Lepisosteus oculatus: one gene and its partners. The protein of the gene in region 4 interacts with the protein of the main gene of each other region in a biochemical or structural test. Links are inferred from orthologs where the notes say so. Each region holds a gene or a part of one and is shown on either strand. Other genes may lie near its edges.

What was found.
Region 1: the proteins of protein PML (region 4) and eukaryotic translation initiation factor 4E-1A form a complex in vitro, tested with the Homo sapiens proteins (4 studies listed by BioGRID and IntAct). The link is inferred for Lepisosteus oculatus from reciprocal best matches to the Homo sapiens genes PML and EIF4E.
Region 2: the proteins of protein PML (region 4) and chek2 form a complex in vitro, tested with the Homo sapiens proteins (2 studies listed by BioGRID, with this or other methods). The link is inferred for Lepisosteus oculatus from reciprocal best matches to the Homo sapiens genes PML and CHEK2.
Region 3: of the proteins of protein PML (region 4) and rnf4, one has a biochemical effect on the other in vitro, tested with the Homo sapiens proteins (3 studies listed by BioGRID, with this or other methods). The link is inferred for Lepisosteus oculatus from reciprocal best matches to the Homo sapiens genes PML and RNF4.

What each region holds. Positions count from the first base shown.
Region 1 is NC_090696.1:61,844,682-61,851,805, forward strand, and holds the start of eukaryotic translation initiation factor 4E-1A, read right to left. Parts: upstream 3,155-7,124; 5' UTR 3,067-3,154; coding exon 3,049-3,066; intron 116-3,048; coding exon 12-115; intron 1-11. UniProt on the Homo sapiens protein: Acts in the cytoplasm to initiate and regulate protein synthesis and is required in the nucleus for export of a subset of mRNAs from the nucleus to the cytoplasm which promotes processes such as RNA capping, processing and splicing.
Region 2 is NC_090717.1:5,418,785-5,426,965, reverse strand, and holds the start of chek2 (serine/threonine-protein kinase Chk2), read right to left. Parts: upstream 3,223-8,181; 5' UTR 3,124-3,222; exon of another isoform or gene 3,097-3,123; intron 3,089-3,096; exon of another isoform or gene 2,212-3,088; intron 2,198-2,211; exon of another isoform or gene 1,870-2,197; 5' UTR 1,846-1,869; coding exon 1,560-1,845; intron 1,209-1,559; coding exon 1,084-1,208; intron 845-1,083; coding exon 712-844; intron 343-711; coding exon 252-342; intron 154-251; coding exon 57-153; intron 1-56. Other genes in the region: iron-sulfur cluster co-chaperone protein HscB, read left to right, coding at 3,529-3,938, 4,508-4,604, 6,855-6,944, 7,843-7,987. UniProt on the Homo sapiens protein: Serine/threonine-protein kinase which is required for checkpoint-mediated cell cycle arrest, activation of DNA repair and apoptosis in response to the presence of DNA double-strand breaks.
Region 3 is NC_090696.1:6,256,936-6,264,076, forward strand, and holds the start of rnf4 (E3 ubiquitin-protein ligase RNF4), read right to left. Parts: upstream 3,005-7,141; 5' UTR 2,768-3,004; intron 1-2,767. UniProt on the Homo sapiens protein: E3 ubiquitin-protein ligase which binds polysumoylated chains covalently attached to proteins and mediates 'Lys-6'-, 'Lys-11'-, 'Lys-48'- and 'Lys-63'-linked polyubiquitination of those substrates and their subsequent targeting to the proteasome for degradation.
Region 4 is NC_090700.1:59,364,779-59,372,094, reverse strand, and holds the start of protein PML, read right to left. Parts: upstream 3,184-7,316; 5' UTR 3,125-3,183; intron 2,406-3,124; exon of another isoform or gene 2,316-2,405; 5' UTR 2,220-2,315; intron 1,219-2,219; 5' UTR 1,215-1,218; coding exon 727-1,214; intron 90-726; coding exon 1-89. Other genes in the region: protein PML-like, read right to left, coding at 4,327-4,892, 5,308-5,411, 6,895-7,013.

The DNA of each region.
Region 1 (7,124 bases), on a different chromosome or scaffold from region 4:
GGACATTTCACCTGTTCTGTAGTGGATGCTTAATGTAGTGTTCGGGACTCACAACCTCCTGGCCAGTGGCTTCAGTTTTTTCTTCTTCAGAATTTGGGGGATTTGAAGTGGATTCCTAGAAAAAAGAGTTTTACCATCACAATTATTTTGAAGAAAAATACACTTTTTATTAAATCCAAAGAAAGGTCACAGGAAAATGCAGCGGCAAAAAGAGATTCACTCCAAACATAAGATGATCACAAAATGCTGTTTTTCTAAATTTAGATAAAGGAGCTGAAAACCGGTAATCGGACTTGCTTAATATTGCTTTTTTTTTTTTAAGCGCTGACAGTAGTGTAAGACAAATATATTCAATTGCTGAAATAAAAACTCATCAAGATATCTGGAGTAAATCCTGGTAATCACCGGGTAATGACATGGTAATGGAAAAGAGCAACATTTCTCACAGAAAAAAAAATGAATCACAACCAAAACATCTTAGAAGGTAAAATAAAAAAACAAACATATCACATTTCTTTGATTCATACAATATAACTGCATAGTAGCATCAACATTAACTCTACAGGCCTAGTTAATCTATAACAAGATTGTGGAAAAAATTGATAAGAGCACTATAGCAACTGGGAGGTCCTGAACAACACTTTTTTTCCCCACCAAAGAATGTTATGTGTCATACTTAAAATAGAGTCTTGATTGAGCTTTAGCTAATATGATAACACTATGTGCAACAAGCTTACTAGGCCTAACTGGAGACAAAGCTTCAAACTTTCCGAAAGACATGAAAAAACACAATTGTAGCCAATATAACTCTGAAACTGTAATGTCAATGATTGGGGAAAAAATGATTTTCCTTCTATCCAAAAAGGCTTTAAATACTAAACCACCATATACTAATATTTGACACTGAATAATAAAATAAAACATGTAAAAAAACTGTACACTATATATAAACTGTACACAACATTATATTACATTGTAGTTCCGGTGGGTAGCTGCGTCAGCATGCGTAGGCTCCACGGCCGAAACGTTGTGTTCTCTTTCTTCTTTTATTCAGCATGGAATAAACCTATTACTTATTATATTACATTTACAGTCTTCTAACAAGGGCAATTTCTAATATTATTTGCGAAAGGTGGCACATTATTGCCCATGCCTATCTATAAAAACACTAGGACCATGAAACAGAATATACAGAAGCATGACTACAATTTCTGCTATCATATCACAAGAACATAGTGGAACTCACACAAACTAGCAGGAATAAGCTGACACTGGAGAGCTTTGGCCAGCTACACTGCATACTTAAAGAGTACTTAAATTGTCTTATGTATTTTATTTGTGCTTGCTTAATACTGCTTTTTTTATGTTGTTGGCTTTTACAAATTGTTCCTGACTGAAAATAATTGCTCAATAGCGTGTGGGAGTATTTTCTTTTTCCATTCCAGCTTCACGACTGTAGAAGCCAAGAAAAAAAAGTCCCATGTTACTGTTCCATTTTCATATGGTAGCAAGAAGTTACAAGTCAAAGTAAGAGAATCTACCTAACCTAGCGCCTAGACAATGACACAGTGCCCTTTCTTATTATTTTCAGTGCCAAGCTAATTAATCCAAGTCTAAACGTATAAAAAAGGTGAAGTCATAAGCTACCCCTCTGCACTGGGAACCTATACGATCCGTCATTGACTTCACATGCAGGAGGCGCTCATACCAAAAACAGCTGTTGAATACCTTAAACGTGGCTTAAATCTATACAAAGTAAAAAAAAAGGGGGAAAAAAAGTGAATGGTTCAAACCAATAAGAAACGGGAGTTAAATCCTTATTCAATTCCAAAGGTTACAAAATTCCTTTGGCACCCATAACGTCACTGCTCAAGGAACGCCTGGGTTTTGTTTTTTGGACAACACACGACAGGAGCATTCTCCGTAATGTACAGTTGGAGGAAAACACATGGAAAATGTATCATCCATTCACATTCCAGCTACAGGAGCCCGGGGCTGAGGGATTTCTTCGCATCTGAACGCAAAACAATAACACGCTGGCGAGTTGCAGCATCTGCAGTTTCAAGAGCAGCGGAAGGGATCGAACAAGCCAGGCGAACCTGTTTGCTTTGGCTGGAAAACTGGTGAATTACAACGGACCCAACAGTCACTCTTTAAATCAAAACATCTGTTATGCACTCTTTCGGGCAAAACAAATGAGCTACAGGTCTTATGATCAGTTAACTGCTTTACTAGTAACGGTTGGGGGGGGACCTTACCGCATACAACTAACCACCTTAATCCCTCGAGGGTTCAATACCCAATTTGCTCGCAATTACCTCGACACGAAGGTATCTAAATCAGACAAGTTAAAGAGCGCACAGCGAGATGAATGGAAAGGCGCTTGACACCCAACAGTAATGTTACGGTTACGGTAATGAGGCACATAAAACTGTCAACGTCAAACGTCAACATCGGGCGGTTCAGCAAACACGGGGAGTTAGTCTCTAAAGCCAAAAGCTTCTCTCAAGTAACCGTCAGAGCCGAGTGAAAGTTCAAGATGCCCTGCACTAGTCATCGGAGGGAATCGCAGCCCAAGAGTATGCTGTGTGTGTGTGTAGGGTTATTTCCAGTTTCAAACTGTCAGCTGTACAGCGCCACGGACATATTACGTGTCCCGTGTTTTCTTTTTTTCCGTGTTTCGAGGAAATGCGATGCACTTGACAGGCGACGTGCGATGCCTGTGGACGAGCAGGCCCCGACTACACTCCACGGGTGATCCCTGATCTGCTGTGACTCACACGCATCTCATGTTGCTGCCGCTGTCTCCTCCTACAACCGCTGAGTGCTCATGGCTCAAGCTCACCCTACATGCACGTAAATACATACACACATTGCCCGCAAATACTCGCGCCATTATCTCATCGAAAACCGACCCACAGGCTCGCCGACGACCCCGCTACTAAACCCGTGCGAAACCCTCTCACCGAACCAGTAGAAAAATGTGAACTAACGCCCTGAGAACTCGGTCAACTAAAACAAATGTTTCAGAGCAATACACTCACTCACCGGTTCCGCGGTCGCCATCTTATATCAATCTGATTCACAGGCTTCTGGTGGGAACATAAAAGCCGATTGGCTTCAGCCGTCCAACGTGACGCAACCGAGTTGCCAATGGCTGTTGCGCATGCTCCTATGTCAACGGGACGAGGGGGGTTGTGGGGTCTGTAGTTTCGCTGGAACGTGGGCGATACGGATAAAGTTTTTTCTAGTTCACTGTCCTCTGCTTGACGTTTTAAAAAATAGTAAAAAAATAAATAAAAAAAACACGCAGGGTTTAAACATATACATGTGATTCTTGGGACATTGATAATTTACCACAATGCACATACCACTGATGCACTATTGTTATTGCTAGAATTGCTTCTTTTTCAGAGACCAAACCTGACATACTTATCAGTCAGCTAATGTGATAGTACCACCAGATCTTTGCCATGTGATATTTCTAGCAAATAATGAACACCGGGGCTTGTTAATTGCTACTATCCAAACATAACAACCCACTGGCCAGGTATGAATTCCAGTGACAGTTGCTATTGATTTTGTATAAACTTTGGGCAGCACAGTGGCTCAGTGGTTAGCATTTCTGCCTTGTATCACTGGGACCCTGATTTCAATTCCTTGTCTGGGGTGTTATGCAATATGTTAATAGTAATGAAGATTCCTTACACTTATATAGCGCTTTTCTGGACATCCTACTCAAAGCACTTTACAGATAATGGGGACTCCCCTCCACCACCAATGTGCAGCACCCACTCAGATGTTCTCCCCGTGTTCATGTGGGTTTCCTCTGGGTGCTCTGGTTTCCTCCAACAGTACAAAAAACATACTGGTAAGCTAATTGGCTTCCGTAAAAAAACTGGCCCTGGTACATGTGCTTGTGTCTGTGTGTCCTGTGATGGACTGGTGTCCATCTGGCTCCAGCTTCCCTGTGACCCTGAATTGGAAGAAGAGATTAAAAAATGGATAAAATATATAAAACAAATTTTAGTAAAACAAGTCAATTGCCAAATGAAACATAACTCCACCAAGCACAAGAACAGTTTGTGTTGGCAACTTAAATTTAACATGAACCTTCTTTAAAAAAAAGAATGTTGTCATACCCAGATATAGTCCTATAAAAGAATATATGAACATAACAGATAGCTAAGTGAATTTTCCTAACATTGAACTTGTCATTGACAAAGACACTACAAAGGACCAATATTGCATATAAAGTTAAGGAGATGACATTTAGAACTAGATTTGAGAATCATGGTACAGTATCACAGGGTACGGAGATAGGATTCTACAGGACAGCCAATAGAACTTGAACTTGAACTTGAACTTTATTGCCATATGTAACCGGTGCTGGTACAATGGAATTCTTACTTACAGAAAGTCTCTCGATTGTAAAACAAGTGTAAAAAACAAAACAAAGTGCAAACAGTGCATCAAGACAATATACAAACAAACAATAGACAATGTGCAAGTAAACATGCAGACAGTTTGAATGTAAACAATACAGACGTGTAAACAATGACTGGAGATGTACAATAAATAAATTACAATGAGGTAGATGGTGATGGTGTAGGTGTGGTCCGAGGGGGATGGCTAAATGTGTTCGCCAGTCTCACTGCTTGTGGATAGAAGCTATTGAAGAATCTAGTGGTAAGTGTCCGTATGCTCATATCTCTTGCCTGAGGGCAGTGGGGTGAAGAGCTCATGCCCAGGGTGGTGACTGTCCTCTGTGATGGTCAGAATTCTACCACGGCAGCGGTCCTCATAGAGCTGCAGCGGTCCTCATAGAGCTTTGAAGGTTAAGTTCTACGGTTAAGGACAGAGTGGTGGCACTGTGGCTAAGGATCTGCACCTGTGGCTGACAGGCTACTGGTTCACATCCTGTGGCTGGCAGTGGGAATCCTACCCCATTTGGCCCCTGAGCAAGGCCCTTAACCCCAACTGCTCCAGGGGTGCTGTATAAATGGCTGACCCTGTGTTCTGACCCCAAACTTCTCTCTCCCCACCTGTGTGTCTCATGGAGAGCAAGTTATCTCATCTTATGAGCCATTTGTGACTGAGATTCCCCAAGCAGCAGCACACGACTGGTTGAGCATTGCTGAGGGTATAGTGTTTTTAGCTGGCTGAGACTCTACTGGCTCCCTTGGGCACTTGCAGGCATGTGGTGCAGTCTGTAAGAGATGCCGCTCTCCTCCCATAAACCTCTGGTTCTGGTCAGAGGTGCCTGTGTTATGTTAAAAGGTGTGTGGGTTAGAGAAGTCTTCCTATTTATCCCTTGTGAGCAGTCATTGGGATCCGAGTTGCTGGACTATTAACTATTTATGTTCTCTGCCAATACTTAACTCTGAAATAATAGCCAAGATTTACAAAAACCAAAGAACAATGGTTAAAAAGAGAGAGGAAGCCACTGAGCTCATTTCAGACCTTGAGAAGCTGCACGTTAAATAACAGTGTATTAAGATGATGACAAAGGTTTGAACAACATCATTATTTGCTAAAGTTTACAAACTTATCCTTGCCATTAGAAATACCAATTAATGAAAGAGAGAATACAGACCTACACTGATAATGATACTACAAATACATTGTGATGACATTAAACTAAGTGTATCTTATCCACTCTACTGCTATTGTAACAGTAACAGGCCCCAGACAGTGCTAAATAAGGGTTTTGACTACATCTAAACTGTGTGTCAATGCCTATTTACAAATTCCCATGTGGCATATTTATAACAACACTTTTTTAGTTTGATCTTCAAAACTTTCCCTTACCACAAATGATAGCTCAATAGTGCATGGAGCATGTATCATTAGTCTGCAGAGAAAAACAAATGTATCAGTTTTTATTATACAGAGTTAAAAAGCAAAGTAATAAAGCCAAAATATTGATGAAGTTGACTCTATAGGAACATCTGCTTGTTACTATTTTTTATGTTGCATGGCAAAAAAGAAAGATTAATGACAAAAATGAGCAATTCTCTTTATGACAATTTTCAATAAAACATTCTATCATCCTTTACAATTGGGACAGTTTATTAACTCCAGTAATGGAAGTAAAGTCTACAAATAACCTGATAAATTTCCATTTTATTAGCATCTAGAACTGAATGCATAGTTGTATATTACTTACTGTACATTGATTGCTATATATACACAGTATATACTGAAGGCTAGCAAGATGACCACCCAAAACAATAATCCCAAAATCAGAACATCATATTAAAGGTTATAAACGAGAGGAGGTTATTTGGCTTATCTAGCTCATTTTGTAGTTAGTAGTTAATAAATCCAAAAATCACATCCAGCAGTTTCTTAATTGAAGGCAGGATATCAGCTTCAATAACATTTTGATTACTTGTTCCCTACAAGTGCCGTCCTCCATACAGTTAGTCCATAAAATCACGCAAGCAAGTAAGAAGTGCCTGCTTTTGAAAACAAAATAACATTGCTAAGCATTACATTTAATTAAACCAGTTATTATATACTGTATCTCCATCAGCCTTTGCCAGTCTTCAGCTAGATAAATTCCTGTCCAAAATTAAAACAGTATTTAAAATACATACCTCATTGATATCATAAATTTAGTTAACAAAATGGGAATGTTTGTATTCTGCAGATGTTTTCTCTCTGCTTTAAGACTATCACTATTGTGATATATATGTATATATTTGGTAACACTTTAAATACATGCTGCTTTAATGATTTAGAATTCTTGCTACATCGTTTTGAAGAAGGTTTCAGACATTCTTTGATGGATCAAAAGGCGCTACACAGAAAACAATCATTAACCATGCATCAAAAGTTTCTAGATGAAAGGGGAGATTGGGCCGGCAAGGTTGACGCTGGCGCCGCTGAGAACAACCGACACAGTGACTGTTGGTTTTTGTCTTTTTCTAATTTCTGACACTTCCCTCTTCTGCAATTATGAAAACCCCCACTGTAAATGATGAATGAAAGCTCAAGGAAAACAGCCCTGCTCTTAGGAAAGTCAGGCAGTGTTGTAGGTGGCCGTGCGCCTCCCTGCTCCTCCCAACTCGAGGTCCTCAGTGACTCTGTCTCAGCCCCTCCTCTCCATTCGCAACTGG
Region 2 (8,181 bases), on a different chromosome or scaffold from region 4:
CAAATTCTAAAAGAATAAAAAATGACAGACCACTCCTCTTGAAATCCCACACTCACGTCAGTGGATGAAAAATCCTTCTTATTTATAGTCTTCACTGCCACCTTCTTGCATGTAGACCGTTCAAATGCCAGCTTAACTTCTCCACAAACTCCTCTGGAAGATAAGGCCTGATTCCGTTAGAAAAAAAAATCCCATCTCCCTGCCAACACCCCCTTTAGCGAGGCAACACACTTAACGACTGCTCCACTTACGATCCAATTTTTCTTGATATCAAGTATTTGTCCTTGAATTCCTTTGGGAGGTTTGACTGTTCATCAACGGTGAGGTCAATAAACACAAAAACTATAGAGAAAAAAGTAAAATATTTCATTTTAGGTACTGGGAAGTAAGAAAAAGAGTAAGACTAATGTAACATATCACCAGCTTCCCTTATACAAAATATATTTAATTAAACATTACAGGATACCTTTGGGATTCCTACAAAAAGCTATGCATGGATATGAGAACTTTAGAAATGACATAGATTATAAAGCAACAGTCTCTAGAATGGGTTAAATACGTCAGAAGAAGGAATCCTGAGCTACATGGGCAGTACAATTTAATGCAAGTTAGTTCACACACTGATGTGTAGATGTCTTAAAAACTCCTTTTCAAACACCCCACCAAAAAACAAACAAACTTAGTAACAAAAATTACACAGAAAAATTCTACCTTTGTTCTGGGGGACAGAAAGCGCCAGTTCAGCATTATTTGCCAGTGGTAACTTTTTGCCCTGTCCCATATACTGTCCGTCAAGATAGGTCCCATTCCCACTGTGGTCTTCAATATACGGAATTCCGCTTTCCTGCACAGAGAAAAGTTGGAGTGGGGAAGGGAGGGGAAGGAGGTGTTAAAAATGTGTCAGTTTCCTACAAAACTGTGACCCAATTAATCACAGCATCAGACAACTATTTCATGAATTATTTCATAATTGTCTCATAAAGAGACATATTGGGATAACAAAAGCATTAAATCTTCAAAAGGAATTGTTCCGAGTGGATACCGGAACAGTTGACCAAGGACGATAACAGAAGTACCTCCTACCCTGAATATCCTGAAGTGCTTCTTACTGTAACTTGCGTACTTTTCTGACTTTCTGATTAAGGCATTATTAAAACTGTAGTCACATCGTCTGTCTCTCCCAAACCAGTATTCATCCTTTATGCAGTCTGAAAGAAAAAGGCCAGGTTTGCCACGTTTAACATTAAACAATTAATGTTCGCAACTGCTTAAGATCACAACACACAACACAAAGAAATAATTAGTAAATCTTTCTTTATACTTCAAAGTGGCCATTTTACAATATCAGTACAAACTTTCACCTGAACACACCACTTAATAAAATGTTCGAGAACACTGAAGAAATGAACTATTTAGGTAAAGTGGCGCATTCACTTTCAGATTCATAATCAGGAGATATAACTTCTTTCTACAAGCTTCCGAAAGCCAGCGATGGCTAAATGGCACAGAACTGTCCTTTGGGACCTAGTCCAGACAGGCAGGAGAGAGCGAGCCCTCACTGTGCATTGCGAAGCCCTTCTCCATGGGCAGCAGGCGGCCCCAGGGCTGTGGGGGGGGCTCCTCCGGGTCTTCGGCCTCCTCAGGAATGGACGAGAGGTCCCGCACGGGGATGGTGTCGACGGAGCTCAGCGTGCCTGAGCCCGAAGACGAGGACGACTGGCTGGAAGACTGAGGCGCCGACGAAGAACTGGAGCTGCTCTGGGACTGGGACTGGGATTGAGACTGGGACTGGGATTGAGACTGGGACTGAGGCTGGGTGTCACTGGGGCCAGGCTCCTCAGACATGGTTAAGCTCCCTGGTTACCTTTACTGAAAGCATCAAGCACAACAGAGGCACCAGAACAGTAGTTAGTGGTCTAGCTTTCCTCTGCACACCCTTGTTTTTCCTTCAGCACAAAGCTGCTTCCTGTTGTTAACCTCTGATGCTACTTCTCATGTGGAAACAAAATCATGATTCTGCTTCCTGGCTCAGAAGAACTGGTATGTTTTTATGTTTATAGATGCAAACACAACACGTGTACCCAGGTAAGGCCAAACACTTTGACAACCACGGGCAAAACTGCATATGCTTTCGTGAACATGAGCAAATGGGGTTGGATAATCAAGCACATCAATAATGGTTGAATTTAAAATGGTAAGAAAATCACCTACCTTGGACAGGGTACTTTCGCACGTTTATGATAAAATCCCTGAGAGACAGTGGATTTTTCTTGTTTTTGAACTTTTAATAAATTATCTTGTCATGAATGTAACTTCCAATTCAAATTAACGCTGCACTTAAACACTAAACATAAAAAAAATCACAGTATTAAAAAACATAAAACGCTATATCCGAGGTGCCTTCTTCAAAGCATTCGGCACAATGCTAGTGCAGATTCCTACAAATCGGTGCAGTTCTGCACAACTTCCCGGTCTCTGGCGGCCGCTCTCTGATGTCCCGCACCCATTTAGCACATATCTGCAAATTCTCCGCAGCAAAAGAGTGGTTGTGGCCGCGCACGGTAATGCAAAGATCAAGAGTGGCTTGTAACAAAATGTTATTGTACATCTACAGTATATAGTCCTTTCATCCACAAAATCTTGAATTGCCCGAGGTAAAAACTAAATAAAGTGTTTTCATTAAAAGTTGTCATTCGTTTTGGTGGGGGTCATTATTTTTAAAAAAAATATTTCTGGCAAAGTGCCTGGCATCCCATAGTCTGTAGTCCTTGCATTACAAGGAAGCAAACTTGCACCCGTCCGCAATAACAATAACAAGAGAGCCGCCTTCTTCCCGGTGCCACATGGTAACATAGGCCGAAATAATTAAGGAAACACGTCTAAGATATGAGACACATTTCTTAACACGACTAAAGAAATCAGAAACTGTAGCTAAATCTATGCAATGAGCTCAGATGACGTACACATTAAAAGAAAAAGTAAAAAAACTGCGCCCATGACTCCCGGTCAATAAAACTAATACAGTAGCGTAAACTTAAAGAAAATACAGAAGCATGCTGTTTTCATTTTGCATGATTCATACGAGTTAGGTCATACCTGAGTTCAACAAAATCAGCTACTCACATGCCCAAAATTCCCCGATTATTCCTCAATCACAGGTAGTACATTCAACAACGCCGAAACGTTTTACAAAATCAACCAATTACAGAAGCCAACCAATCGGGGAAACTCTGGGGCAGACTGGGAAATGTAGTTCAGCCTCTGCCTTGAGACCTAATTTGGGAAATATGTGACTTAAACTTGAGGTTCGCTGACTTCCATAATATTAAACGAACCCACAAATTTAAACTAATGCATGTAAATACCATAGTATTAATACTGCATATTTACTTTTAAACAATTTTATGTTTTATATATCCAACCGGAAATAATTCTGATGCTTCCTGTTGTCTTCCCTACCCACCTCCTCCTCTTACGAGAGGTGAAGGCAGTACCGGCATGCATGGATATTGACTTAAAGGAAAAACAATGCTGATATTAAACAGGTTACGATTTGCCAGCTCACTCCGTAGAGTTTGTGGCCTAGGGCTCTATGTTGGAAATGATCAGTCTGTCTTAAAACATCTACCTTCCACGTCTGGCTGTGAAGCTTTCGTAACGGTGTTCACCTTGAATGGCTCGGGCAGCCGCCGTTCTTCTGGAGTCTGTTCAAAAACATTGCATTTTTTGGAGCACTTCAAATCAAATCAGTTCCCAGCCACTTCGCTCTTGAAACGTCGATGCGGTATGATTTCCAGGACTTTTTGCACGGTTTTGAAAAAACTACACTGTTGGAAATGCGAGGCACGACTGCAGACGCCTCCTGCGTTCTTCTGCCCGGCTTGCCTTGTCATCCAGCCACTTGATGAAAACATCAACTTCTTCGACATCATGGACTGGTGAGAAGGAATCTGGTCTGTCTGGCACTCTAAGTAGTTTGTCCACTTGAGCAGTTTCGATCTCAGGTGTCTGCGTTGGCTGACTGAAATTGTTTTCAGCGAGATCCCTCTGATATGCTAAAGTTACACATGGTTTTGTAACCTTAATGGGTTGCCATATATTTATTAAACGTTAACTGCATAAAACAGCTTTGCATTTCTTAAAACGTTTTAATTCTTAGAGAGGTCTTATAAATATTGCTATTAAGAATCCTAGTTCAGGTGGGTAACTGCGTCAGCATGCGCAGGCTGCAAAGGAACAAGTAATAGGTTTATTCCATGCTGAAAAGAGAAGAGAGACAACACAACGTTTTGGCTGTGGAGCCTTCTTCACGTGTGAGGCTCCGTGGCCGAAACGTTGTGTTGTCTTTCTTCTCTTTTCAGCATGGAATAAACTAATAATACTTGTTCCATTAAGAATCCTGTACATGCTAGTTGACTTTTTACATCTGCAGCATTTATTGCTCGACTATCATCAGATGTTGGTGTTAGTGCACCTGGTGTTAATAAACCTTTATGCACTGTTTTAGTGAAATATCCTTTGCTTTGGATGTTCGGAAGTTACAGAAAAGGTACATGCATCTTCAGCGTTCTCTTCACCCTGATAATTTCAGCCAGAAAACGCAGGTAAGCAATGCTTCCAGGTGTATGGCACGATTTCTGCAATTAGTTCTTAAACGGGCAAAACGTTGTTGTGTCACTGTGTAGACTTGTACTTCCACTGTCCACAGCTTGTTTCTGTTCAGCATCTGTACAAGTCCAATGAATAGAATCAAAACCCAGTGAACTATGGACTGGTGTTTTTTTTTGTCAATCAAATATAATTTTGCATTTCTGGTATAGTCTGTAAGTGAAGGTTCACCAGCCTCCATAGCGTGCGTGCACCTGCCAACTCTAATGTCTCCAGACATTTAAAAAAATAATCGTGTAGGCATACTCATGCAATGTTCAAACTACAAAAAAGTCAGTCTCGAATAGCAGTGGAATTACATGGCAGAAATGGCAGGAGTAACACTTAACTCCTGCAAATAGACTGAGTGTATCTGAGTACTTTGTAGTCTGGTCTGAGGATTTTGGAATTTCACATTGCAATGCAGTAGTGTTGGATATGGAGACTATTCATGTCTAAAAATAAAGACTTTGCTTTAAAAATAAATGGCTTGTCTGATTCCATTTAACTTAAGTGATATGATGTGAAATGTGTTTGGCTTGCAGAAGAGTCTATTTGATACAATATGGTGCATATTAAAGACAAGGACCATCAGTGCTGGGGATTAGCATGGTAGGGTATTAAACTTTCTCCCAAAGCACTTTCTGTTACTCTGCACCACTTTTAAAGAATTATCAGGAAAAAGTGAAAATTTGGCTTGTAATGCTATTTCAAGCCCCCAGGAAAATCTGCCTGCTGCTGATTGTTAACCATATTTAACCATATGGAGCGGCACTGACTAATTAATGCTTTTGGATATTGAGGTCCTAGGAGCAGACTGACTCTGGAGATGATCCAGTCTACAGATCAGTTTTAAATGAGGGGCTTGACTGACTGTTGGTGTTTTGTGTAGCATGATGTATGGCTGTAACATAGAAATCGGCCACTTTTAATTCTCATTGATTCCCATTGGCTGCATAAGCCTGGTATGCCCCTCTGTTGCTGAGCCCTTTTACCTTCAACTTGTCTTCCAAACATGAGATGGTTTTTCAGTTATTTCCTTTTACATGTTTCATACACACCAGCTTCTGTTGTTGGATTCAAGACATTCAACTATTCCAAGCATGACAAGACCTTTAAAAAATCAAATTTTCTTACACTCAGGACCTGGTAAGTGTAAAATTAGCCTATTCAGATGCATTCATAAAATGGCAAGCAGATCTGAATGCCAAGGTTTGGCTGTAGGTTTACAAAAGTACTGCATAATCCCACATTGACGTTAATGTAGTTGTTTCATAACTGGACTGAGTTGCATCTAAACAGTAGGCAATACACATGTACAGATCTGGTCCCCAATGTTGTGTTAATTTGTTTGAATATAATAGACCTTTTTTTTTTTTAACGCTCAAGGCACTTTGAAGCACTGCTTAGGTAATCATAACTTTTTTTGCACCTAATTTCATGTTATTATTTATGATGTAATTGATAAATGACCAGCTGTGTTGTAGCTTTTACCACGGATCAGCATAAAGCGGTTTACAGCTGCTTCTGTAATACTTTGTATACTTATTGTGAAGGTTTTGAAAATTTGGTCCAGGAAAATAGTAGCTTGCTATGGTACCTTTGTCTAAATAGTTTATTGATCTCCAGTATTAGCTTCAACAACATGGCTTGGTACCAAACCTCCACAAAAATTTGTGTAAAAAGCCTCTCCTGTTTTCAGCCATAAATATACTTTTTCATGAGCAGCTTGTAGTTGTGCCCTTTTGTACTTATTTTACTCTTGAGCATAAAGTAATCTTCTGGGCTGACCTTGTCAGCACCTTTCAGGTTTGTGAATACGTTTTTCATGCTTGGCCTCAAGACTGAAGCTGTTTAGTCCCAGATATATGTGGACCTTCTGTTTTTTCTACATTATTTTTTTAATGAAAATGAGAGGCATTTCATATAAAGAGTTATCAAGTGCTTTTTAACCTTTGGTACGTTCAAGCACATTCTGCCTGTCAGAACTAGTAACTTTCCTTTCACAAATAATTTATTATATCACATCATCAGATCATGTTAAGTATGCTACATTGAACACTGACGGAAAGGGAAAAAAATTACTTTTGGGGAAAATAAAGTCTTATGATTGCCCTGTGAGATTTCTGGAACATGTGCTGTAATAAATAGCATGCAGGGTCTTTATTGATTACTTCCTGGAAGTTATTTTGTGATGTCTCTTACAGCAGGAGCAGGAATACTCTGAAAGTCAGTCTGCCCTGGTTAACAGAGCATACAGGACTTTACTTAAGCCTCTCAGTCGTGGGCTTTATATGGTAAGTATCAGTCCTGTCAAATTAGCAGTGACAATGATACAGTACATAGATAAGTTCAAAATATTGCCATTACTTTTTGCATACAGTGAGAGAACTGACGGATGAAAACCAGCTATTGAACTAAGCCAACTCCTTGACAGGTGTTAACTTAGAATATTACAATCTTCAGTGTTTTCCTTTTTAACATTTGTGACATTAATGCAGTAATAAATGTTGCGTAATAATTTACACAAGCCTGGGAATGTATACAGGTGTTGATGTTTCAGCATTTATACATTTCAGTCTAACCTATAAAAGGGAGTATTAAATGAATCAATTAGCATTAATGGGAAAATTATTGCATATATTTTTAAATGCAAGTGTTAAATGTTAAAATCTATTTATACCATGTATATATGTTGAAAATGAATGATGTCAGTTCTCTAATGTTTTCCAGTCATCTAGCAGTTTCACAAAACATCAAGTTTGTAGAAGCTTCTGGAAATCACTTGTTACTAAAGTAATCCCTTCCACAAGTCAAAGGTGGGGTCACAAAATACTGATTGCTGGGGTTTGACTACAATTAAACATAATGCAACTATTTTTATATGTTCTTTGTAAGATAGAGGTCTGAAAGTCATACAATAGTTTGTTTTTCTCAAGAACTATATAAAATGTACACCTAAATTTTCATACAAAATCAGCTGTTACATTTTTTTTTGAGGCTATGAATAAATTTGGATGTGAATACATACAGTATCTTAGCACACTTGGCTTGATTTTACCAGCATAAATAAAGACATTGGACTTTCAGTAATTTTCATTCAGAATACCACTTCCGTTTTTCACTAGTTTAAAGATTACCTGCATTCATCAATTTGAGTATGTGGGGAAAAAAAAAGTCTTCATTTCTCCTTAGCTGGAACTTGAAGGGATGAAACTGGAGGGAGACCCTGGTTGTGGGTTGAGCCTGGAGTTTCTCCAGGATATCCTGGAGATAAGTGAAAGACTGGCTGAAACACAAAGTCAAGAAGAAGCCAGTGACATCTGGCATTTCGTCAGAGGTAAAATTATGCGTCTTGGTGCTTTGTATTAGCTTTTAACACGAACTGTTAGTTTTTCTCTGAAATTTTAACTGAAGTGGTAGTTGTCTTTGAAAGGAACTATAGTTATAATACATTCTTCAATATTTTAAATAATTGTACTTCATAAACAGCAGAATTATCACCTCTGGCAGAGTCTTCCTTCTGCTCTAAGA
Region 3 (7,141 bases), on a different chromosome or scaffold from region 4:
TGGAGGCTGGATTTTAACAGAGTAAGCCAATGTCTGAAAAGGTTCAAGCAGAAGTATCTGTACAAACTGAGGCAGGGTCAGGCATAAGCCAAGCGAGAAACAAAAGGTGAAGAAAACAGCTGGAGGAGATTTACAGCTTGTGTACATGAGAATAACCCTTATAATAATACTGCACACACTGGAACCGGATAAAGGCGTCTGTTATGGAAATATTAATGCCGTTCCATCCTTAGGTATTCCTCTCTCGACACACAAGCTCAACTATAAGCAAGGGTCTGCGAGCCCACAGAGTGCATGAAGACCTCAAAATGCAGCAGGCTCAATCAGTACATGCAGACATCACGCATGTTTTTCTCTGCTCCACTAACTCCACTCTTATAACAATACAGTGCTATGCATTTCTTTAGCAGGTGTTTATTTACAGTATTGAGTACCAATGCCATCTGAAAGAAAAGCTTGGTGAAAAAAGGCAGAGACTGGTCTTACATCTTGTCCATAAATGCGGATTGACCGGACAAATTAACAAGAGCGAAGAGTTGGGCACTAATAATGAATCAATGAGTCGGCTTCAGATACAGATAGCAGATAAATGAAAACACCAAAGTCATCAAGTGAGTGGACAGAGTCTATCAGCCTCTGGAACTCTGCAGGAGAGATGCAGCACCATTCTTCCAGGAGAAAGTAAATCAAATCATGCTTAATTGATGGAGGTGGAAAACACATCAATGAATTAGGCATCCCAAAGCATACTATTTCATTTGGGCAAACTAAGCTACATTTATGGCTTTATTTCTAGGTCTTTTGAAAACCCCATCCTAATATATTGAATATATTGGACAAATTAACTTAGTAAGTATAACGACCGATCATTATTGCAAGCAAAGGGCAAGAAGACAGTTCGGAGTTGAGGTACCAAACCATAACATATCTTCATGGATTTGTGGTTCATGGGGACTTTAAAGAACATAACCCCCAACAACTAGCAAGAATTTATCATTATAATATTACAATCCAGCAATTTGACAAACTAAAACCCCAAAAGGTAAAAGACACCACCTACAGAACTACCAGGCAGTTTCCTCAAATATTTCAGTCGTTCACGGTTTTTACCTCCTATCTTGTGAGACACTGGGGAACACAGTCTGCAGAAGCGGTTAACAGCACAACGTGCTTTACCGAGCTTTAGCAAGTATTTCCTGACTGACTCACCTCATGCAACGATGAGTACAACTAAAGACCAAGATGCCCATAACTGCCTTCCACCAGCACACCCCCTTAACCACCCTTAAACCTGAACGTGTCACAGCTCACAGGTTCCTGAGCAGACACTAGGATGGGAGAATGTTTTTAAAGAAAATCGCGTTGCTGCCGAAGTGGTGGTGATGAACTAGTCCATCATACCAACCTGGAAAAAGCAAAGCAAGGAAGAAACCCTACTACAGTCATGGTGGGTGCTGTGGTTTAAAAAACACCACCTACTGTAAACCAACGGATCCCGATCCTGGAGGTGCGCACGCCTCCTGGTTGTCATTCCAGCGGAGGTTAATCACCTTGCTGACACCTTAACAGGACTAACAAGCCGCTCCACTGGCACAATCTCAGGTTTCTTTTCCTTCTCATAAGTTAGGAATTTTACTTAGGAAATGCAGTAGTTAAAGGGCAGCTGTCAAACTGAAAGCAATGAAACCATTCAAACTACTCCTATTACTATTACTCCCATTGAGAGTTGAATCAGGTGAGCGCCCCCTGCTGGCCCCACTAACACCTCTTCCAGCAGCAACCTCTGCTCTCCTCCTCACTGAGAGCTGATGTGTGGTGAGTGTACTGGTGCACTATGGCATCATCCAGGTGGGGCTGCACATTGGTGGTGGAGGGGATCCCCATGACCTGTAAAGCGCTTTGAGTGGAGTGTCCAGAAAAGCGCTATATAAGTGTAAGGAACTATTATTATTAATTAACCTTAGTTTTTCCCCTGGAGTTCTCTCATCCAGGTACTGGCCAGGCTCACACCTGCTGAGCTTCAGTGGGCTGCCAGCTGGGAGCTGCAGGGTGATATGCTGCTGGCGCTAACAAGAGACGTTCAGCTAACGTGGAAGTTAAGTCGCAATACAAGAGGCATTAACACCTGTGCCAACACCACATTTGAAAACAGACTATGTAATCTGACTAGTCCAAACCGAAAGAATACCGCTTTATTGATATAAAGCTCCTAACTAACGCATATCTCCCTTAAATACAGATCTTGTATCTTTTATTAGACAAAATAGTTAGATTATACACGGGATTCGAAAACAAATATGGCATCTATATGACTAATGCCCACTGAGGCCTTCGATCCGGTTGGCAGCAATTCGCAGAGATTACCAAAGCTCTTCAACTTCTGTTTAACAGCAGCAGCAATCCTCTTTTGTTAAGGACCGATAAAGACACAAATCATAGCTCGAGAAATGATCAAAATGGTCGAGAAAATGAATGGGTGACAACAGCCAAGTGCTTTATACCATCGTGGATTAAATAATTAGATGTTGATGCTTTGTAGAGGAGTTTCTGAAATAGGTGTTGGTACACCAACTCCGCTGTACTGTTACATAACCTCCAACATGAAATGGTGCTCAAAATGCTTTTAACGGCATTATAACAATTATTTTAGCTGTAAATACTATCCATATTACCATATTACCCATATTAGCACTAAAGCCAGGGCTATGGTGTGTGGTAAAATTAACAAAAGCCGATTAAAAAAACTAGCCAAATAACCGAAACCTACCACGAAAATACTCGGACAGCAGCAGTCAGGAAGAAATCAGGGTTATCGACAGCTTTACTGCAACGCTTCTATCTGGCGAAGCGCACCTTAAATATGAAAGAAATGAAACAATAAGAATTACTACGAATGCACTGAGGAAAAATAAACCAAAATCCCCTTCAATTTCTTTTCTCCACTCCGATCATCCAGCTCCTCCTCGAGTCGGAAGTAACCTCGGCAGCAGATCCGTTAACCCAGGCGGCGTTGTGATTGGTCAGACAGAGAGTAACGAGCCAATCGGTAGGCGGGAGCTTTGTTCAAGGGAATATGACGTACATCCGGGCGCACTCTGGTATTTGTAGTTTTCACAACAGGAAATGAGTGACGCGGTGTAGTTCCTTAAGGCTTCTTAATGACGTCCGCTGGAGTAGGTAAATTGGAAAAATAGCAGCGAGGAAAACTTTCACCTGAGTGCGTTTTCGGTTATATGGTTAAAACATCTGTACGGACCGAACACCTGCTTTGAACTCGCAAAAGCTTAGGACACTAACGAGCATGGTACGAGGGAAAGGAAATCAAGGAGGAGTATAACTGGAAAGACTGACTTCGCTTGACTGGGTTACGAGATAATGGTAACGAATAGTAAAAACATCCGTTAGAATGTATAGCCTTTTGTAAAATGACGCAGAAAGGCGTACATAAGCAGCCGCGGCTGTTTTAGATTTTTTTATTATTGTTCGGGTGACGATAGACGTCGCCCCCCTGAAACCCAGATGGTGTAGAACTCTCCCACAGCAGGCAGCTGGGGTTCACCACTGTCATGGGGGGGCGCAGTGTCCCCTTCCAGTAGCCATGGTGGAATCATCGCAGGGCAGAGCTGCACCCAGTTAAGGTAATTGGGGTCTCTGTGCCATGTGTGTCTGCCCTGTGATGGACTGGCACTATGTGCTAGGTGTAGTCCTGTTCCACGTGCTTCCTGAAGGAACTCTGGGATGTCTGGAGTAATAGAGGCAGTGACAATGGGAATAACTCAAGGGGCAGCACAGTGGCGCTGGGGCTCCGTGATCGATTCCTGGAGTGCCATCCGCAAGGCGTTTGCATTGTAACGCTTACGGCCGACAGGTACTGTGTAAGAGCCGGCTTACCAGAGCAGGTGACGTCACCGCCCTTCCCTGTGATAGCAGGACTACAGCTACTGGGCTGGGGAGAGATCTCTCTTTGGCTCACCGGGCTGGGTCCCTGTTGAGTGACGCGGAAGTCCTGGGTTAGAGCCCGCGATGGTGGGGGGCCGACCTAATGCAGCAAGGGCGCCCCCCTGAACCCCTGTAGCGTTACAGCATGTTCTTCTCGTGTTCGTGTGGATTTCCTCTGGAAGCTCTGGTTCCCTCCCCACCGTATGAAGCTGGACTGGTAGGTGAACTGGCTTCTAGAAAAACTGGCCCTGGTGTGAGTGTGTGGGGGCGTTTGCCCTGCGGTGGACTGGCGACCCATTCAGGATGTACCCTGCCTTGTGCCCATTGCTTGCTGGGATAGGCTCCAGCTGCCCCGTGACTCTGGATTGGACAAGGCGGCTAGAAAATGGATGGAATAAATCATACTACAACCGTTCCTGACCTCGCAAACCTACCGGGAGAATAAAATCACCTTCTGGAAGATTAATGCTCCTTTCTCCAAGGTGCAGCTTCTTTGGATCTGAGGAAGCCACTGCCACAGCTGAAGTGTTCACGAGAAGTGTCTGCTTTCAGGGCAGTGGACAGAGGGAAGATTTCTAGTTTTGTTTCCAGTGAAAAGGAATAATGTCTTTGTTCGTGTATGAGGTAGGGTTTTTGTTTTGTTGCTCAGACTGTAGTTGAAATAAAGCCAGGAACCCACCAAGACTGTAACAGAACAGCAGGGTTTGGTGTGGAGTTCATGTGTAAAGATCCTCTCAGCCATGCTACCACAAGCTGAAATCTCCCGATGCAGAAAGATCTTACATGGTGACACGGTGACTCAGGGCATTAAAAAGCACGAGCACAAGCAATTAAATTACAAATGTCCGATTGCTTATTTTAAACCCGCAGATTACACATGCCAGTGGCTGAGAATAAGTAGGAACAGTCCATTGGAAACACCTGCAGAGGCCAGTGCTGCTCCTGCACAGACGAGTGATGGAAAAGCTGTGTGACTGCTGTGCACCCCGGCCCGTTGTGTCATACGCAGCCTGTGTCATACACCTCCCTCTGAGCTCGAGGGTCCCAGGTCCGGTTCTGGGCTGGTTCCATGCGGAGTTCCCCATGTCCTTCAGCACTTTCTCTGGGTGCTCCTTTTCCCCCAGAGTAATTGGCAACTCTGAATAGCCCCCCCATGGGCATGCCCTATAATAGACTGGTGTTCCCTCGAGGGTGTATCCCACGTTACACCCAGTTTCAGCAGGGTTAGACTCCACCTCAAAGCCTAAAGCTGGTACTGGAAATTAACACATGGATGGATTATACGGTGCATTTCTTAGTTTGAATGGGCTATGTAACAAGGTGAATATTGTTTTTGCACCCATTATCCGGTATAAAGCTCTGAATCAGCCTTTAGCTAGGACCCCCTTGTTAGAGGAGGAAGTTGAGATTTAATTAACTCCACACATTCTACACCACACACAAACACGCTACAGCAGGGTTTGTGACTCCTGAACCTGCTGCACAGCTTTCTACTGTCCAGTCCTTATCCTGTTCCATCCCAGAGGGACTTGACTCAGAGTGCGCCAGTCCAATTCTGCAGCTTCATGAGAAAATGTCAACATTTGTTAAGGGTACAGGGCCCATTTCACAGTTTGCTTTGTAACAATATGTTGCTTTGTTATAACAATATATTGCTTTGCTTTGTTTTACACTGTTACCTTTTTATTATTATAGGCCAATGTCTGATGTCTACTGCCTTGCCTGTGTGAGGTTATGGAAACAGCAATTGGAACTAAAGTACAGGATCAGCTATATGGAAATGACATCCTAGGGAATAGTTCACATGGATTAAGAAAAGGTGGATCTTGCTTAACCAACTCGTTAGAGTTCTTTGAAGAAGCGACAATGAACTCTCACAGAGCATACACCATGGGGTATTTCGATTTTCAGAAGGATCCTGATAAGGTTTCTCATAAAATATTTATTGTTGAATTACAGGTAATAGGATTCAGGGAAACATCTGTGATTGGATGGAGAATTTGTTCATATAGAAGAGAGTATAAAGATAAACAGTGAATGCTCAAACTGAGGCGGTGTACCACAGGGACCTGTGCTAGTGTCACTGATCTTCCCCATTTATACCAATGATCCAGATACTGCTGTGTGTAGTGAATTAGTCAGCTTCGCAGAGAGTACCACAAGGGAATGATTAGTAAACACTAATCTGTAAAGACTGGGCAAACACCTGACAGATGATATTTAATGAAGAATTGTGCAGGGTTTTATATGCAAGTAGTCACACCTGAAGAAGGGTCCACGGCTGAAACGTTGTGTTTTCTTATTTCTCTTTTCAGCATAGAATAAACCTATTGTTCCTAGTAAAATCATATACTATTAAAACAAAGCACATACTATTAATAAAAAACTTGAAACACTGAGCTATAAGATGCTACAAAAAAAGATTTAGGTGTTTATGTTGACACATCTTTTACATATAGACCACGTGGTGAAGCAATTTTAAAAAGGCAAACAAAATATAAGGACATATATTAAAAGGGTTGAATTTAAATCAAAGGACATTGTGTTAAGAAAGTTCAAGTAGGTGGAGGCGTTGGCATGTGTAGGCTGCAAAGGAACAAGTAAGAGGTTTATTCCAGCTGAAAAGAGAAGAGAGGAAACACAATGTTTTGGTTTAACCCATGGAGCCTACATACCCGAAGAAGGCTCCCCAGCTGAAACATTGTGTTTCCTTTCTGCTCTTTTCAGCAGGGAATAAACCTTTACTGGTTCCTTATGTGAAAATTGTACATTTCTATCATGTGTAGACTAAAATCACAGACACTATTCTAAATGAGGTCTTACTAGTACAAAGACGTTGCTGCTCTGTAATCCAGAGAAAAGAGGCCAGGTACATTCCAGGGCTTGAGACCTGCACGTTGTTACAAGTATTCAAAATCCTCAAAGGCACTGAAAGGGTCAATCCAGAAGACACCTTCGGAGCGAATAGTGAAACACGAGTGGAATCAATCCTGGAAGTGCATTTAAAAACCAAGAACATGAGGCACTTCTTAACAGAAAGGGTTGTGGGAGTGTGGAGGAGGCTGTCCAGCCACGTTGTTGAAGCCCATAATTACTAACTAGTGAATGGGCTAGATCTGTCGACTGGCCGCCTCTTGTTTCTACAGTACCGATACTTCTGTTGTCGTGTCTATAGCTGCGGGTGATTGATACATGGGTTAAA
Region 4 (7,316 bases):
TCATGTCGCAGTGCTCATGGGCTGGAGGCTTGTGCTCCAGGATGGTGCAGGTGCAGCACACAGACTTGGAACACGTCCTGCAGAAGATGCTGTGGGAATTGAGAAGGTGCAGACAGGGTGAGAGAGCAAGGAACCATTTTCACATGTATCTGGCGATGTGGGAGTTATTTGCCGTATCAAGCTTATTTTCACACCTCTCAAAAGGCTTTTCCTTGGCATATTAATAGAGAACAGGTCTGATAACACATGGTTCTTTAAAAACAGATATTCAGGCAGTAATATACTGTACTGTAGTTCATTCACACAGATAAGAAAATCAGAAACGTGCCCTCTTACTGAAAATCAAATTAACATGAATTAAAACTGGGATTTTGGTCAAATTACCTTGAATTTGTGGAAAACAAGTTTCAAGTAGGAAATAATTTAACAGTGATGTTAATAAAATAAACCTACAATACAGACAAAACCTGTATCCTGTAAATCTTCAAGTTAAAGGAAACCAGATCACCACTCACAAACTTCTGTTATCCAACCCTTACTCCAAAAGATACAGGGTTCTAGTTTACAGTTACAATTGTTACGCATCAAGTGTAATATCTGACTGATTAGAAACACGATAGTGGACTGCTTCTTATGAACATCTTTAGAACCAAACTCAAGAGGTCTAAAATTGGAACACCAAGGCACAACGCTGTATTCCAGTCCAAAAGTCGGAGCGGATCTAACCTAATCATCTGCTTCTCGTGGCTGGGACAGTAAGGGAGCCTCTTCTTGCGGGTGGCTTCCAGGAAGTCTGGGAAGTCCATCCTCCTCAGGTTCTCCACGCTGTCCACTGGGTGTCCTTCCTTCTCTGTGAAGATCTGATGGGCATCAAAACAGCTCTGGCACAGCATTTTCTCACACTCGAAGCACAGGAAGCTTGCCCCAGCTCTGCACCTAGAGCATGGAAGCACGCTGGCTTGGACAATCTGTCTGTAGGTATCAACCCTGGCCTTCAGCTCCGAGAAGAGCACATTGTTCTTCACCTTGGGGAGTTCTGTGGCTTTCTGGCAGGTAGGGCAGGTGACAGAATCAGACTTCTCAGACCTTGTTAGACACTCCTCGCAAAAGGTGTGAAGACAGGACAACAGCTTGGGAGAGGAGATGTTCCTGGTACAGATTCCACACAGCAGGAACTGTTCTCCATGTAATAGGGTGCCTGCCTGATTAGCCATTGTCCTGTTAAAAGATGGAGAATCCAGAAATAACCCAGTTGCATCAGAGTGTATTAGGGAAGGCACAAGAACACTTTTCCAATTCCGTTCGAAAATGTGTGTTGGATTTGCAAGCAGGAAAAGCAACGTTGTTCCGACATCACAGTTCGACCGATTCAGTTTGTACTTAACATTTTTTTCAGTATCTACACTGTGTTGCTTCCTGATGTTGACTTAACTTTATAGATATAAAAATTGGAACTGCCCATTATATTTGTCATGCATGTGCCCGGTTTGAAACCACCTGTTGTTTAAGACCTGATTTTTTGGCAACGTCTGCTGTATGGCACAGAGAAAGAGGCCCTGCAGTCAGGATTCTCTGACGTGCCCCTTGTTACAGCACTTCATCTGTTTGACATGTGAGCGCTGGACAGGAGAGAAAGATTGCCAGAGCAGTGCAACACTCACTGACATCACACCAGGTCTGAAGGTATCCTATATGCTGCAGAAAACTGTCTTCCTAAAAGCTGAGAAAACCTTGGCCAACTGTAACATCCACCCTACCCATGCAGTGCTGAGTCAAAAGTGCCTATTTCCATTTGTGAATATGGCATACATTCCATATCTATTCAGTGTTGCTAACTGATATTCAATGCTCTTTCAAAATTATTTTGCCACAATTCATGTTGTGGAATCAACACTTTATACCTTATCAATGAGGAATATTTGGTAAAATGATGTGGACAAAACACTCACTTGGCATTGGGTAGATCTCAAATTAAGGACATATCAATGCAAAGTTAATTTTCCTCTATGGAAATTCAAAGGCAGCTCCATCTAAGGTCCGTGAACACCAAATTTCACTTTTAAAGTACTGTTTTGCAGACCTGGTTTTGTTTGTACTACAGAGAACGTTCAAAATTCATATAATACACAGGTTTGCATATGAACAACTTTAGCATAGGCTGCACCAGGTTAACTAGTATAGTATTTAAAATTGGAAAAAGTGTAGAAAAAAATACCTACTGGATAAAATCGGTGGGTTAAGATGTCCACTGTGGTCTCTTCACCTCCATATTCCAGTTGCTGCGGAGTGACATCACCGTAGCAGGCGTCTATAAGCTTTTTCAAAATAAGAGCCAATTCTTTGTATAAAAAATACATACCGGATTTACCTCCCTCTATTACAGAATATCACGGTTCGTATCACTGCTTAGCAGTACGACATACCACTTTTACAATGAAAGAAAAACGAGAACAAAGAAAAATAACCGTTAATCTCTACACAACAAGACCAAAATCTAACCCAGAGGTACAGTATGGACAAAAACAAGCAAGATCCTGAACTGCTTTTTATACTAATCTTGCCTTTGTGACCACTCAAGTCTCACACTTCGGCTGTATTTAAAATTTAATTGAAGAGTACAGTATATTTGACAGTTTTATTATTTTACAGATATCAAAACGATATAAATTTATAAGAATGGTAAATGAATCAATAATTATCGATCGTTCAGATTATGCTTGTTAAAAACCCCGATTGCCTTCAGCCACATTACTGCCGGGTGCTACCTTGTGTTTGTTACAAAGCTTTTATGCGTTTTTCTGTGCATTAATAGTATATCAGCTGTATTGACCGTTTCAGGATTTATGGTGGTGGTGAAAGACCACACCCTGGAAAGGGTTAAAAGCTGCGCAGGAAAACGAAAACGGAGGTGGCGAAGCAGAAATGGAAATGAACAGCCTGTACCGCTAACCTCCCTTTCACTTCTAGTCTGACGAAAGGGTACTGTGCATGAAATTAAATGCAATCGGACGATGAGATGTGCCAAACATACTGTAAGCCATATATAAACCTGATTGCAGCTGTGATTAAAAGAACAATACTTCAGAATGTATTGTGTTGTATGAATTATTGTTTTCAAACATACAGTACGCACGGATCCTTATTCTCCAAACAAGTCTCATTTTCCAGCGGAGAAACGGGGTTCCTTCCTCGATGTCTATAATTTTGCCTGTTAACACCCCCTACTGGCCATTATTATGAAACGATTTGCTTAGCTTAGCAGATCTAAAGCAAAATTTTGAAATCTAATTTGAAATATTTAAGATTAAGATCACTTTATTAGCCATATACAATTTCTTGCATTAGGAATTTGCCTTTTTGCATAACCCAGCTTGCTCTCCTTGAGACACAGCACACAGAAGGAGAGAGAGGCTTGGACTCAGAGCGCAGGGTCAGCCATTTATACAGCGCCCCTGGAGCAATGGGGGTTAAGGGCCTTGCTCAGGGGCCCAACGGAGTAGGATTCCTCTGTCGGCTGCGGGATTTGAACCAGCAACCTTCCAGCCACAGGCGCAGATCCTGAGCCACAGAGCCTCCGCTCCGCTTGTATTTTATAGGTGTTTAACATAGAAGAATATGTGAATGGCCACAATGCAATTTTTTTTTACATGTAAAATTATATTTCCTTTGTCTCGTCATAATATTAAACACACCCAATTAAAACAACTAATAAAAACCAAAAGATTATGACACTTTATTAAATCCTTAGAGATCACGTGGACCTGAAAAAATACATTACTTTATTTATATTTAATAAAACAATAAAATGAAAGATAACAGATGCTTTTCCTAAACAGGCAGTGTCTTTTATAAATTTTCTTTCTGCCTTGATCATAATTATTAGAACTTGGCACATTTGATTCTGAAGTCCAAGAAATCACACTGCTGTGGAAATAAAACAGCCTCTAGCAAAACGCCCATTCTGTTAACTTAAACATTGGTATGTAGAGAAGCAAAAGGTCTTTCCTTCTCAGTGGTTTTAATTTAATAAACGCAAATGTTAATTTTATTTGCCTCAAGATTCCTGTGAACCAAGTCTCTGAGGCTCAACTGGCGCTGAAGCCAGTTCGTGTTTCAGAGACAGCTCTGCTGGGTTAAGGCTGCTTTTGAAGTTCCAGGAAGTCAGTGATATTGCCAATTGTGGCTCCAAAGCAGCCCTTCCACAGCTCTTATTTCAGGGGCTCCAGTAGCTTCTGGAGCCTCTTAGAGGGACTCTGCAGGTGAGACTTCTAGAGTAATTCCACATGCAGCCAGTTTTCTTGCAGCGTGCTTGGAGATCACTTTTCCTTAGATGAGTGGCCACCGAGAGTTCCGAGTTCCCACCTGTGAGAGAGTGAAGGTGTGCCTGACCACCTGCTCTGACCTGGGCGCCCAGGCGCGGAAGAGCCGCTGCAGAGCCTTGACGTCTTCCAGAGCATTGTGCGCTTGGTAGGAGGTCCCGAGGCAGGCCCTCACCAGGTGCTCCTGGCGATAGCTCCGGATGGAGCTGTGCCTGAACAGCTCTCGGGCCAGGAGGAGGGTGTCCACGAAGCCGGAGGTGGCCTGCTGGAAGTCCTCTCTCAGGTGGAACTCATCCAGCACCTTGAGCAGTACAGGACAGTCAAACCTCCTGATGTTGTGCCCTGCCAGAAAAGGGCGGTTCAGCATGCGGAGGAAGGCCACGAAGGATATCAAAGCCTCCCGGTGAGTGATGGTTGGAAGGGCCTGGCTGTGGAGCCACAGCTGTCGCCTCCTGACAGTGAACCCGGTGACAACTGAGGCCCCTCTAAGGATTGGTCGCCGAGGAACCATGTAGACATTAAACGTGTGGTCTCCACTTACAGCGGACAACTGTACGATATCACACCTTGGACCTGTTTGCAAAGGCACAATTGATGTGTTGTTACTGCTCCGTTCTCCAAGACTGCAGTCAAAAAGTAGTGTCACAATCTGCAATCAGTCCTTTACCCCCCACTCATGGAAAACAATGTCAGAGAGAAAATAAAGCTCAAACTTGCTGAAAATGCACAGAAGAATCATTGTAAATAAATCGTATTGTTAGTCTACTCCCCTCTTCCCCATACATGACAAAAGGGGATTATAAACAACTAGTAATAACTATATGCTGTACATCAACATCCTTGTCAGTTTGTAAACTGGCAGTACGACACATACTGACCTCAGCTAAAACATCTGCAACAGGAATACTTTTCCACAGTGAGGGGTTTACAATAGATTTAAACTTAATTATCTGAAGAAAGATACTATATAAATGTAATATATAATTACCAAGTCCAGTGGTTTCGAGATCGAAGAAAACAAGACTGCGGTGAAGATTACATGAGGCAGAAGAGGCCACTGCGAATGCATTACATTCCATTGGTCTTTTAATTCTGTAAAAGAATTAAAATGATTCAGATTTTTCACCATTATACTGTACGTATGGACAGCAACACACAAAGTGTTGAAATATATATTAAAAACATTGAAGATACCTAATCTGTAAATTCTAGAACAGAAGATGAGGCATTAGGTTTTATACTGAAATTGTGCTGACCGCTGTTTCACTTGACAATAACATTGTTCCAAGCAAGAAACAATTACATATATTATAATTAAATTAGATATAAAATGTCTCCATTTACAAAAGGGTATGTTCCACAAAGTGTTTATGTGTACTTTGGCCTGAGAAATGTAAAAAATAGAAGAACACAGCTGATCCACAGCTGAATTATGAAATACCCTATTTAAAAACCCTAGAAGAACTGTATTTACTAATGAAAGTACAAAGAAAATGTGTGTTACAATAGAAACATCTTGAGACAAACTGCAGCTTTCTTGATGTAACCAAAAGACTAAAGTGGAAGGAGAAAATCAGTTCCAGACTTGTAAACTGTAATTCCAGCCTTTTCCCCCGAGAGGCTGTCCTTGTGTTCTCCTTTCAGAATGGTCCTGAGCAGATGGACTGAGCCTTGACATACACCTGACATACAGTACCTTCAAACTGCATAACCATCTGCCTCCGAATCCACCATCATCATAATGCTGTGTACACTTTACATTTGTTACGAAAAAAGACATTTCTAAATAACAATCACTTCATCTTGACATGATACTTCCATTTGCAAAAAATTTTCTTTGACAATATCCGATCAACACAATCAATTTAAGGTAGATTTCCTTATATACTTTCTTTCTCATTGTAAATTCAATCTCAACAGGTTCTCAACCTCAAAGTTAGATTTAATAATTTTCGGATGCTGATTTCCGACAGCCTCTCCCCCCAGCAAATCATTTCGCTTCCACCACTCATGAAAACACATTTACAGAAGCTTGGTGATGCTGCTGGGGATCAATCAGTCTGTTCTGAGCCACAGCTTCACATATTTCAGCAGTCTGCTGTTTTGCTTCCATTTGAGCTGTGGCATTCCCCTCTCATTCTGTACAATAAAGACCACACACTATGCTTTAGACCCTAGCTTCTCCTTTAATCCATGTAAGACGATAACCCTATAAACATAAAACTGGAAGCAGTGTTGTCACCTTGTGGCCTAATCTCAGAAGCTAAGGAAGAGCAGGGCATAGTCAGTACTGGTGTGGCGTTGGTGGACCAGTAGGAGGCACTCTTCTCACTGGATCTGAATTTACTAGCTGACACCTAGTCCAGTGATCAGAGTTGCTGTGCATTAGGAGGAATTGTCCTTTGGGGGAGATATTCGCTCGAGGCCCTGACTACCTGGTCAATAAATATCCCATGCTACTTCTGGAAACAGCAGGGGTCTTATCCCTGGGGTATGGTCTAAATTTCATTCTTGGATTTAAAAACGTGGCCTCCCTAAGATTCCCTCTTAATGAAGCAGTTTCTTACTTCTTCACCTGTGTAGTAGGGCTGCAGGCACACAATGGCAGCCGTGCATCACCCAGGTGAGTGCTCTGTAAAGCGCCGTGGGACTCTCTGGGATGAGAAGCACTATACAGTATACAAGTAAATGCATTATCTATTTTAACTGGAAAAGGTTTACACACTTAAGACCATGCAAAAAGCATACCGCTCATGTCACAATAAGTAAGGAATTCACAAATACATTCCACAAAACTATTCCATTTGGAGACATCTGCACTAAGCAGGAACAGATAATATACCATTTATATTATAAGTTCAGGTGGGTAGCTGCTTCAGCATGCGTAGGCTGCAAAGGAACAAGTAACAGGTTTATTCCCTGCTGAAAAAAAGAAGAAAGAAAACACAACGTTTCGGTCGTGGAGAGGAAGGCTGATGAAGGCTCCACGGCCGAAAC